Cricetulus griseus: one gene and its partner. The protein of the gene in region 2 binds, or shares a complex with, the protein of the main gene of each other region. Links are inferred from orthologs where the notes say so. Each region holds a gene or a part of one and is shown on either strand. Other genes may lie near its edges.

Evidence for each region. Proteins that work in one complex are often made in the same cells at the same time.
Region 1: the proteins of Flna (region 2) and Itgb3 are in contact, whole or in part, in an NMR structure (PDB 2MTP), measured with the Homo sapiens proteins. The link is inferred for Cricetulus griseus from reciprocal best matches to the Homo sapiens genes FLNA and ITGB3. Residues at the interface, in NP_001104026.1 of Homo sapiens: Gly2236, Arg2264, Ala2268, Gly2269, Gly2270, Leu2271, Ala2272, Ile2273, Ala2274, Val2275, Glu2276, Gly2277, Pro2278, Ser2279, Lys2280, Ala2281, Ile2283, Phe2285, Asp2287, Gly2291; in NP_000203.2 of Homo sapiens: Lys742, Ile745, Thr746, Pro771, Leu772, Tyr773, Lys774, Glu775, Ala776, Thr777, Ser778, Thr779, Ile783, Tyr785, Arg786, Gly787, Thr788.

The regions. Positions count from the first base shown.
Region 1 is NC_048600.1:117,664,844-117,670,997, reverse strand, and holds part of Itgb3 (integrin beta-3), read right to left. Parts: intron 4,454-6,154; coding exon 4,291-4,453; intron 3,688-4,290; coding exon 3,526-3,687; intron 1,314-3,525; coding exon 1,218-1,313; intron 665-1,217; coding exon 575-664; intron 1-574. UniProt on the Homo sapiens protein: Integrin alpha-V/beta-3 (ITGAV:ITGB3) is a receptor for cytotactin, fibronectin, laminin, matrix metalloproteinase-2, osteopontin, osteomodulin, prothrombin, thrombospondin, vitronectin and von Willebrand factor.
Region 2 is NC_048604.1:1,479,779-1,485,932, reverse strand, and holds part of Flna (filamin-A), read right to left. Parts: intron 5,890-6,154; coding exon 5,700-5,889; intron 5,542-5,699; coding exon 5,518-5,541; intron 3,317-5,517; coding exon 3,069-3,316; intron 2,960-3,068; coding exon 2,864-2,959; intron 2,706-2,863; coding exon 2,603-2,705; intron 2,516-2,602; coding exon 2,375-2,515; intron 2,088-2,374; coding exon 1,959-2,087; intron 1,772-1,958; coding exon 1,598-1,771; intron 1,500-1,597; coding exon 1,338-1,499; intron 1,144-1,337; coding exon 940-1,143; intron 861-939; coding exon 708-860; intron 603-707; coding exon 480-602; intron 392-479; coding exon 125-391; intron 1-124. UniProt on the Homo sapiens protein: Promotes orthogonal branching of actin filaments and links actin filaments to membrane glycoproteins. Anchors various transmembrane proteins to the actin cytoskeleton and serves as a scaffold for a wide range of cytoplasmic signaling proteins.

The sequences.
Region 1 (6,154 bases), on a different chromosome or scaffold from region 2:
GAGGGTCTCTTTGCCTTCACGCTCATGAACATTGTCTCTCTTTGGCTCCCCCTACCCACTCTCCTCCTGACCTCTCTCGATCTCACTCTTCTGTGTTTGTTTGTTTGTTTGTTTGTTTGGTTTTTCGAGACAGGGTTTTTCTGTGGCTTTGGAGGCTGTCCTGGAACTAGCTCTTGTAGACCAGGCTGGTCTCAAACTCACAGAGATCCCCCTGCCTCTGCCTCCCGAGTGCTGGGACTAAAGGAGTGCTCCACCACTGCCCAGCTTCGCTCTCACTCTTAATAAAGCTCCTCTTCAGGCTTTAAAGGGACACCTCTTGTCCCCTTTAAGGCCCTATTATGTTTAGACCTCCCTATTATATTGTTTCCATCTAATGCCTCCCTTCCACCTCCAGGCCCAAGCATGGCCTTGAGGCCCATTCATTTTAAGAAATTTCAATCCTGGGGGGAATTTACATGTCAGGCTCCCATTGTAGAGGGACCACTGCATCCCACTTTTACTTCTTTTTAACACCCTCTGCTCAATGAGCCACATCCAGCAGACTCGACCAGCCCTCCCAGGCCAATATTCTTACCCCATAAGCATCAACAATGAGCTGGAGGACATTGCTTGAGTCAACAGACAGGATTCCCACTGTGGTCCCCGGAATGAGCTCACTATAATTCTAGAAAGGAAGACAAAGATGTCCACAGCTTGCTCAAGGAAAGTGGTCTCCTCAAAGTCCCCCTAGTCAGTCTTTTGGGGGGTGGGGGGCATCAAGACAGGGCTTCTCTGTGTAGCCCTGGCCGTCCTGGAATTCACTCTGTAGGCCAGGCTGGCCTCAAACTCAGAGATCTGCCTGCCTCTGCCTCTCAAGTGCTTTAATTAAAGGCGTGTGCCACCACTGCCAGACTGACAGTCTTAAAGTGAAGTTGTGAGGACACTGTGGGATGCCTCACTTGTCACTACCAGAACAGATCTATCAGATTTTCATATCTGAGGGAAAAGTAAGAAACCTTTTTACTCCCCTCCCCCAACTGATTTATCTCCTCACCATCATCTCAAACATCTACACCCTCTTCCTAGCAGGTTAGAGGCTGAAGGAAAAAGGCTATAGGGAGTTATGTTAAGTACCCAGAGAATGAGTTTTAAAAGGATTTTTTTCCTGGTTGGGTCCATGGCCACCTGGGACAGGTCCATCTGTGGCAACAGGACGGAAGCCCCAGAGGCATAGTTACCTGGTAGAGGTTGGCCACGTCTGCAGTGACTGCGAAGATCAGGTTAATGTTATTCTGGGATAGTTTCTCAGTCATCAGCCCCAGAGACGGGTAATCCTGGAAAAGAGGGAAAGGTTCATGGGGATATCGCCAAGGAAATGTGAAACTTAAAACATTTATGCACTAATCAAAGTGAGGTGTTGTGGTTTGGACATGGCTCCAGTGTGTCCCTTGGGTTTCATGTGATGAAATTGAATTCACACTGTGAGATGCTTGGGTGGGGGGGGGATGAAGACAAGCCCCGCCCCCCAACAGTACTGGGGAGTAGAGTATTCGGGAAGTATGGTTAGAGGTCATTACAGCAAAGCCCCCAGAGTTGAATCCCACTAGTGTCATGAGAGGAGAACAATGAAAACAGAAACCCATACACACACTCCCTGACCTCTGCTTCATGCCGGCCTGAGTCTTGGGACTCAGCCAGCAAGATGACCACCAGATGTGGTCTCTCAAACTCGCAAGTTCTAAGAACAAAACTGAAGTTCTTTTCTGGCTTACTGTTAGCAACAGAAAGTGGATATGAAATGAAAGTTGCTATATGAGTGAGAAGGGCAATGCAGTGCAAGCTTAGCAAAGAACCCTAAGCTGGTGGTGTTCCAAAGCCAAGCACCTTCCTTCCCACTCAGATTCAAACCAGCTCCATGAGTTAAGGCCCACCGTTGCAGAGCTGTGGGCAAATGTCCTAGCCTCGCTCTACTGATCAACCAACACGTGACCAACAACCATCACTCACCCCTACTCCTCTTCTACCAGGCACTGCTCTAGCTCACTCCTCCTGCGAGTGACCTTCATCTTGGCAATCCTCCTCCTTCCTTAGCCAAAGCTCACCTCCTCCAAGAGGCCTTCCTTGACCACCCCAGCTCCTAAGGAGCTTTCCTCTTCCGGCTGCCAATAGCCCTTGACTGTATAACACACTTAGCATTCAGCATGCATTCGCTGCTATTGATAAATGTGCTGGAATATATCCTCTCTCTTCATCTAAACAAAAAAACTTGTAGGAGTAGGTCCTTATAGCTTTTTCATCTCTCGCAGCTCCTGATCAGTGCCTTGTATAGACTAGTATCAGAGTCCGATAGTGCTCAGCTTGTATATGGCTAATACCAAGGACTTGAAGAGACCAGGAAACAGTATGAACCAATATGTCCATGGGCTCATAGACCTTGCAAGGGAGCTCATGAGTTCTCTAGCTCAGTCTCCTCCCTTGAATCACTTTTAAGCCACAAAATGGTTCCTCTATTGACTAGAGAAAATAAGGAGTATGTTTTAATAATAAATAAGGTTTTGTTTCTTATTTAAAAATAAACAGTAGGCTGGGGATGGCCTGGTGGATGAGCAATTATCTAATATACTATGAGACGTTGAATTCAATTTCCAGACTAAGGGAAAAAAAAAAAAAAACAGGCATGGTGGTATAAGCTTCTAATCCCAATACTCAGAAGGTTGAGGCAGAGGACTGCAAGGAGAAAACCAGCCTGGGCTATATATAGAACAAGGCCCTTTATCATTTAATCAATTAATTAAAATCAGGTATATTGTCAAATTACTGTAACCCCACTGATGTGAAGGTGATGGCAGAGGACTAAGAATTACAAGTTAACCTGGACTGCATGGCAAAGCCCTGACTCAAGAAAATGAAGGGGGGTAGGGGGACAAGACAGGTAAAAAAAAAAAGTCAAGACTTTCTCCAAATACCCTAAGTGTTATTATTTTAAACTTAGCTACATTTGCCTCATGGTTGACAGTAATTCCTATTTCAATTTAAGCTCCTTTCTTCTTATTTAGTTAACTGTCTATGGTTAAATAAAACACATGAAATAACTTTTCATAAGTTTTCTTACCTATCATCCTAAATTATCCACAAACATCTTTCTTTCAAACCGAATGACTCTGTGCCCTTTAACCTTTCCTCAAGAGGCTCTGCTCTCTGGGTTTTACCTTTGTCCTTTTCTCCCCCTTGTCTTTCCCCAGTAACCACAAATGAGCTTGATTCCAAGAAGGGACCCATCCACAGAGGAAGGAGGGAAGAGAGTTTTCTAGCTGTGCCTTCCCACATTTTGGATGGCAAGATGCTGTTGCTGGTGCTGACGACTGCGGAGTCAGTGTGACGCCCTGGGTGAGGGTGCCCTATTGGGATGTGGCAGAAACAGGCACTAACTGAGCCCCATATAATGCCCAGAAGTAAGTCTGTTTTCAAATTCACACAAAAGCCTTGCCTGGAATAAAACAGCCCTATCAGAGTGAACAAGGACCACAGTGGGACCAGGCATCTCACCATGGTAGTAGAGGCAGAGTAATGGTTGTCACTGCCAATGTGACACTGTCCATCGTTGGGCAGGACAATGCCTGCCAGCCTTCCATCCAGTGCAATGTGGGTCTTGGCATCAGTGGTAAACACCAGCAAATGGGATGCATCATTCCTCCAGCCAATTTTTTCCTGTTTTGAAAAAAAAGACACAGAGACTTCAGCTATGTCATCCGCACTGAACAAAGACTGCAGAACCTCCATTCCTCAAGAGCTGGACAAGCTGTATTGGAGACGGACCTCAGCCCCAAGCCTTGAACATAAACAAGAGCTTTCTAATTCAGGCTTTGTTCCCTTAGGGAAAAAATCACCCCATTGTTGATTAGTGCATGAGTCTGAATCCCACCTTCTTAACTCTACACATAACTCCTCCAGTGACAGAAACCCTCTGCATCCACACAGCTGGCCTGGATTAGAAGAAATCCCACCCAAACATCTGCTCACTTTGCTGAGGTCAAGTTAACGCAGGCTTGACTCTGAAATAATTCCAGAACATGTGAGCCAATGCTCTCCCTAGGAAAGATCTGGGGCTACTGTGGTTCAAAGAGGTGTCAGCTGTGGCCTCGGTGAGGCTATAGAGAGAGACTACACAGCAGGAAAAATTATTACTCATATTGTACAAAGTCCTGCTTGGTTCCCATCCTCCAACACACCGGAAATCCCCAACCAAACTGTTTCCTCCCCCATTTTGATTTATGCCAGCTACACCTGGCACCCCTTGCCCTCCAAACTCACATCACAGACTGTAGCCTGCATGATGGCGTCAAAGCCGCCCTCGGGGGCATCTCGGTTACGTGACACACTCTGTTTCCTCACTTCCTCATTGAAGCGGGTCACCTGGTCAGTTAGCGTCAGCACGTGTTTGTAGCCAAACATCGGCAAACATGTAGTCTTGATACTGGGGGGTGGGGAGAGGGGGAGAAGAGAGGTCATCTTAAGAAAAGCTGTGGTGGAAAGGTGGTACCAGGGTCAGATAAAGACAAAGGGACAGATACTGACAGTAGTGTGCCCAGATCGGGGAGAATCATATTGGTTCTTCTCCTTTTTTCAGCACTGAGAATTGAGCCCAAAACCCCATGCATACCAGATAAATGCTCTACCACACAGTTACACTCCAGTCCCAGAGAATCACAATTACTCAGACAGTCTAGACTCCAAGTCCTTCAGACTACCTGTGGCACCACATCTGTACCTCCAGATAGCCGGAAGGGCAAGTAAGGCAGTGATAAAACCAGACAGGACAGATTAAACCCCAACTCCCCATTTACCAAGCACGGACTCTCTGACGGCCTCTCTAAACCTGCATTCCATCACGCATTTGGTCACAGCCACACGAAAAACAATTAATACACAAGCCAAACAAAGACAAGGGGCTGTCAGTGTACTTAAGTGGTAGGCTTATATATGGAGGCGTATAGTGCTTATCTCAGAGAGCTATCTCAAGACCAACTAAAGCAATTATACAAGACGAAGGCTCATGCAATCATGACTGGAATCATTAACACATTTTTTTTACTGCAACAATAAAGCAAATGTCCAGTAAATTTATAGATCATGCTGTCCCCAGATATGTTTTCTAGGAAAACATATAGCCCAGTCAGAAATTTAAAAACTGTACTGTAATATTTTTAAAGTAAACCCATGCCTTGTCAATCCAGCAATCATGATTTTAATATACTTTATTTTTAATTACATAGAGAGGGAGTGATATTATGGGAGGGAAGCGGGAGAGAGAAGAGACAGAGACAGAGAGAATGAGTTGTGCAGGCGCCCATGGAGGCCAGAAGACAACATGAGATCCCCTAGAGCTGGGGGATCCCCTAGGCTTGGGTTAAGAGCTGCCCGACTTGGGTACTGGAAACTGGACTTTGCCTGGTCCTCTGGAGGAGCAGGAAGTATTCCTAACCACTGGGCCATCTCCACAGCCCAGTGATCATAATTTTAAATCACTACCATACATAGATTTGCAGTCTTCGTCAAGTTAGCCATTCGATAGTAAGCTGCTATGGTTTGAATACAAGATGGGCACCACAGAGTCGTCGGTGTTTTTGAATACTTGGTCCCCAGGCGGTGGCACAGTTTCAGGGAGGTTGTAGAATCTTTGTAACATAGAGCCTAGCTGGCATAAATAGGGCTATATGGGCAGGGCTTGTTTTGTTTGTATTGTTCCACACCAGCTCCGCTTCCAGGCCTAGCGGCATATAGCAAGTGGCTGCCACAGGTTCCCACCACCACAGACCAAGCCACTTCAGACTTCATGCCTTACCTGTCATGATGGATTACATTCTCTGAGCCATGAACCAAAATAAACCTTCACCCTTAAGTTACCTCTAACAAGTATCTGCTCACAACAGCAAGAAAAGTGACTAACACAGCAGCTAAACAGGCACAGGGCTGGAGATGCTGTTCAGTGGTAGGAAGCCTGCTTAGCAAACCTGAGACTCTAAGCTCAATTCCTAGAGCTCCTCCAGCCCCACAGCTAAGGTGGGTTGGCTCAGGCCTGTAATACAGCACTCGGGAGGCTGAGGTCAGTCTAGGCTACATAGCAAAAATCTCTGTCTCAAAGAAAAAAGTGTGAAGGCTGGAGAGATGGTTGAGT
Region 2 (6,154 bases):
AGAACTGGTTCCCCACCCCCAGACAACTCCAAACAAAGCCAAGATCAACATAACTGCTAGCTACCTCCTCTAAACACCCATCTAGGCCTACCCAGGATAGCAAGAATTAGACAAGCACACCTACCTGGCACTCCAGCTTCAGCCCTCTCTAGGCCAGGGCCTCCAGCACGAACCTTATGGGCACCCCCTTCCCCAAGAGGCCCCACAGTGAACTGGAATGGGCTCCCAGGCACATGTTGGCCCTTGTACTTGACGCTGACTGTATGCATTCCCATCTCAGCAGGCACAAATCGGATACAGTAAGTATGGTTCTCTCCTTCTACGATCTCTGCCTCGTGGGTCTTGCCTGATGGGCTGGTCACCTGGGCTGTCATATCTTGGATACTAATTTCTACAAGTAGAAGATAGCTTGCTGAGCAAAGCCCTGTCTCTACTTGTGCTTAGGGTTACCCTAGGAACCCTTCTGGTCTTTTCCCTACCAGGAATCTTCAGGCTGAGGTCACAATGACTGCCAACATTGGCCACTGAAGGGGCACGTCGCCTGCGTGTGATACTTTCTTTCACCCGGCCCTCACCCATCACCTTCACAGAGAAGGGACTGCCTGTAGGAAAAAAAGGAAAGTCCATACCCTGCACAGGTTACAGGTGGACACTGAAGTGTGTCCAGGAAGGCTGCCAAATCACAGGGGTGTGGCTGCCATACTCACCAGGCACATGCTGGTCAGCAAACTTAATGTTTATGATGTAGTTTCCAGGCTCTGTGGGACAGTAAGTGACCCTGCATGTACCATCCTCCAGGTCCTCTGTGTTGATGTCTACCTTGCTAGGACCCTCAATGGACAGACTGAGCCCACCATAACCTGGGGGATAGATAGCAGCTATAAGCCAGAATGCCAAGTGAAGCTATATTGCCCCAGCTGGCAGGCCACCACTGCCTACCTGCATCTCTGGTGTCAATAATAAACTCTGCAGGTTCAAAGGTATGACCTTCACGAAGACCTTGTCCAGAGACCCTCACACGACTGGCATCACCAATCTCTGACTGGCTGATCACTACTGGGATGGGACTGCTTGCTACATGCTGGCCATTCTTCTTCACATGTACCAGATGTTCCCCTGTCTCCTTGGGCACGAAGGAAATCCCTGGGCACAGGGTAGAGCCATCAACAGTGTGTGTGTGAACCCATAGCCTCCCTCCTTCCCCCACCCCAAAGGCAATGATGGCTTTAACTTACTATGTAGCCAATGACTGATTCCCCTGATTTCTCCTGCCTCCACCTTCCCACACCTGGCTCTCCCTCCTTCCCAGAAATGCTTGCCAACTTTTAACCTCTTACCCACGTGGCCATTGCGCAACCGCTTCAGCAAACAGGGCTCCTCCCGGCCTGAGGGTGGCACCACAGTGGCTGTGAGTAGACTAAGGTCTGTTTCTGAGATATTGATGGGAATATCAGCAGCAGAACCCACCTTTAGGTGGGACATACGCATGGAATCGTCACCTGGTAAGAGTGTAAGCCATTAGTCACTATGGATCCAGCCACAAAAGACTGTGCCCACCCTGCCATCTGTTCTTGTCATTATTCCTGATGCTCCCCACCTGTGACTCTTGCAGTGAAGGGGCTGCCTGGGATGTGCTGGTCATTGTACTTGACCAGGATGCTATAGTCACCAGGCAACACAGGCAGATAAGAAACACTGCATGTTCCATCTTGGTTGTCAGTGCAGCTGATTTCTGCTTTAGATGGACCCTCGATGGCCAAAGACAAGCCTCCTGAAAAGCATCACAGGTAAGAGTGGGTGGGAACTGTGCCCAGGGAAGCATTGCTGGGCCTTGGTGGATGAGTTGACTTGATGGCTCAGCAGAGTCAGGAAGACGAGGTAAAGAACTCCATTCAGGATCATCTCCCATACCAGCCCTCAGCCAAGGGAGGACAACTTGGGCTAGAGCTTCTCCTTACCCTCTCCTGCATCCTTGGTGTTGACAGTGAAGGTGGCGGGTTTGTTGACCACTCCATGGCTAAGGCCAGGACCATAGGCAGTGACGTGGCCACAGTTAACATAATCCACATAGAACTGCAGAGGACTTCCTGAGGCAGGAATAGAAGCCACATGGAATACCACCAGCCCCATTCACGCACTAGTCTTTTGTTTTAGTTTTTTGAAAAAGGGTCTCATGTATCTCTGAATGGCTTTGAACTCACTATGAAGCTGAGGATGACCTTGAATTCCTGTTCCTCCAGGATTATAGGCATATACCTCATGCATGCTAGGCAATCAATTTACCAACTGACCTATAACCCCATTCCAGCCTGTTCTTTCTGAGATGGTAGCAATAGGGGACAATGATGGGGTGAGAAAAAGGCAGTGAGCCCACCTGGGATGTGCATATTGTCATAGCGGATGTCCATTTCATGCAGGCCAGCTTCACTGGGTGAGTAGCGCACAGTAACAGTACCATCCTTATTGTCAGTGATGGAAGGCTGAGCCACCTTGCCTGAGGGCATTCGAACTTCCCCTACAGAATAATGGTTTTGAGGTCAGGACAGGTAATTGGCACACCTAGCATCACTGGTTTCCAAGTTCCTTCCCAGCCCTCACTCACCGGTGATCTCTCCCTTCTTGATGGTAAAGGGAATGACAAGATCAAAGGGCCTCAGGGTGGTCACATCCAGCCCATTAACACCCACCATGGGCCTCTCTGAAACCTGTGGTGGAGAAAGAAAAACCAGGTGAGGAACTACAAGAAGATCTGAGGTTTCTCTGCACATATGGTAGAACAGGGTCACATGAGACACCAAGATGGCCAGCTCCAAGTGTCCCTATGGGTCAGGAAAATTAAACAATAGACCAGGCTAGGCCTTACCCAGGTTTGCTGGCTACCCTGAGGATAGGTATACTGTGGAGCCAGCTGCTGAGTTCGTAGTGGGGTCTGCACTGTGGGTTGGTCCCCAGCCAAAGCCTGCAGGGCAAAGTGGGAGAGCTGGAGACTTTTGCCATAGAGGGGCCTGGAAGGACAGACTAGGACTTTCCCAGATCTCCCTGCCCACCCGTCCTTGGCCCCTTCTCACTGTAACTTGGAAGGGACTGTTGGGCACATGCTCGCCACCGAAGCGCACACAGATGACATATTTGCCCGGCTGGGGAGCTGTGTAGAAGATGTCAAAGGTGCCATCCTCATTCTCCACCACGTCCACATCTACCTCTGAGCCATCAGGTGTGCACACAGTGCAAGTCACCTTGCCTTTGCCTGCTGCTTTCGTATCCACAGTAATCACTGTCTCCTCCCCAATCTGGATGGTGGGGCCAATACCAGCACCTGGGAGGGCAGAGTGGATCCCCAGAGGGGAGCCAGCAGGTGAGCCTAGCATTTGAGCTACTCAGCCTGCCACCCATTCAGGTCTCTTATTGCTACAGTCAAGCACAGCCAGCCCGTACCCCTAGCCCAACCCATACCCCAAGCCAGGATGGTGAGTGGTTTCTCAGAAGGCAGGAAGGATTCTCCTGACCACCTCAAGCCTCTTTATGAGAGAGGCCCAACAGGTGGCACTGAGGTACCTGGGAGGAAAAGTAAGGGACCATCCCATCCCAGCACAAGCATTTACTGCCACCTCCTTTGCCAACTCTGCCTCACCTGGTACCATGGCCTATGCTGACAAAAACCAGCACTCTGGCTAGGCCCATGGCTACCTGCGCCCCTGTGGCCTGGCCCTGAGACCCAGTACTATAATGTGTGGACGCAGTGAGGCGGAGTCCTACTGCAGTGTGGGGAATGTGACACTTTCCTCCCTATCCACCCCCGAGGCCTGAAGGTGAAACTGGAGTTTCCTGACGACTGAGAACGCTTGCTCAACCAGAAGCTTGTAGTGAGAAGCAGCCCAGCACAGCCTGGCATAGACAAGAGCAAGCAGCAGGGAGGCAGCAGTTAGCACCCATGCAATACATCACAGCAGGCTTGGCAAAGCAGTGACAGTACTCAAGGAACAGAGGATAGAAGACCCAAGCCACCACACAGGGTTGCAAGGGTAAAGCATCTAAGTAGCCTCTAGGGCCCCATAGTGCCCGAGGAAAGGGAAACGACGGTGACGTTATGATCTGGGGCTCAGCTGTAGAGGCTTGGGAGCTGTGGGTTGTAAGGCCTGGCAGCAAGAGCACCCCTGCAGCCCAGCCTCCCACAAGGAAAGCAGCTAGGAGCACCAAACCTACTTGAGGACCAAGTTTAAGGACTGCCCCTTTTACCAGCCTGCCACCAAGTCCCCCTATTGACCTTAGTCTCACACTGGCAACATGAGATTCAGCATCTTTAGTTATAGTCCTGGCTGCCTGATACCCATGTTGCCCTATAAGTTTCCTGCATGCCTGCCTTGTATCATCTAGCTAATGACTTGGGCCCTCTCCTGACAGCTACTTAATTCCTCATTTCTGTATACAGACTCTAGGTTATCAGCAGGTCTTAACCATAGCATCCTTGAAGTATACTGGTTAATCAGGCTATTTACTGCTTAATGTCCCAATGGCTACTGACCTGGCACAAGCCAACCTTTTGGCTTGCCCAAAGGTGATTTAAGTTCCCTTACTGGGCTGCCTGCCTCCATTCCACACATAATGGTCAGAAAAATTGAGGCCACTCCAAGCCCCTAGCCTATTCTCCCCGCTCCTGCCCTGTGTACATATATGTCATCTCCAATTCCATGTGCTGTTCTACAAAGCAATCTAGCCTCTGCCACAAAAACCTAGCTATCATATAATCCTGTCCTTGGCCACCTACCCAAGTTCCAGGCCTACAGCCTTCAGAAGCCTGTAAATAATTGTAGTCTTATCAGTATCCCTGGGGTGTCTCTGTCTTGGGGCAGACAAACCTGTCTAATAGGGACTGTCTTAACTAACGTCACTGCTGAGGGAATAGAAGAGAAGGAAAGGAGATGGGTCGCAGGAATGCACTTTGGGGTTCTGAGGCTGGGCCAGGCCCCACCATGCTGGCCACCCAAGCAGTTGACACTGCACCACCAGCCAGCCCCACCCACTCATGCACCTCCCTCAGCCCAGGACGCAGATGCCCCTGGGAGGCAGGGATGGAAGTCTGTGGATCTGATGAGGGCTAGAAGACTCCCACTGGGTGGAGGAAACCACCTTGTTCCCTGAGCCCACACAGGAGCCCTTGTGAGAAGGAAGCACCTGTTGCCCATCCCCAGAGGTGCCAAGATCCCCAGACCCCCAAAGTCCCAGTGGGGTGCCTCCTAGGATACACTTCACCCCAAAGCTCTCAGCTGCAACCCGAGTTCTCAGATGGGGAAGTGGAGGCCCAGAGAGGGGAGAACCAGAGCACTCATGCTTAGCTCTAGAAACCTCCCTGGGCCCTGACCCTCCAGCCCATGGCCTTGTCTGCACAGCCTCCCCCACTCTGTCCTTGCCTAGAGCTGCAGCTGGAACTGTCCTGGGAATGAATTAGCAATGAAGAGGAAAGGAAACTGCCTCTCTGGGCAGAAGGGGCATTGGGAGTGGCCCCAGCAAGCAGCTTACCTAGCCCGTGACCTCCGATTGACACTGAGGTGAGAGGGCAGAGAGCAAGGAGAAAGGTCAGGTGAGTCACTCAAGGGGGCGGCCCCCACTCCCACACGCTGCCCCAAGCAGCGAGCCCTTGCACACAGGCACACCCAAGTCCCGTGCCTAGTGCCACGGGGGCCGATAGTGGGCTGGCTCACCTGTGACTGTGCACTTGCTGGCATCTCCAGTGGGCACAGCCCGGACACGGTATGGGGAGAAGGGGATCTCATCACCACCATATTTGATGAGGATTGTATACCGGCCTGTCACATCTGGCACATAAGCCACTGTGTATGTGCCATCATGGTTGTCTTGGATGTGTGTTTTCTTGGGCTTGCCTTCAGGGTCCTGTGTAGCAAAGCACAGGGGAGGTCGGTCCAAGCCAGCCTTCTATAGAAACCCCCAATACTGCTATAACAGGGATAGTTTCTGGACCCTCTATCCCCATGGCCCCTGAGGCTGCCTGCATATAGCAGAGTCCAGAATGGAAACCTCCCAAACATACAGTATTCTGTGACATGACAAAAGAGTAGCTTGGTGCCCAGCCTCAGCACTAGGAGCTTCCATGAAAGATCTCAATGTTGTAACATTACACCTGTCCTGTGAGAATATT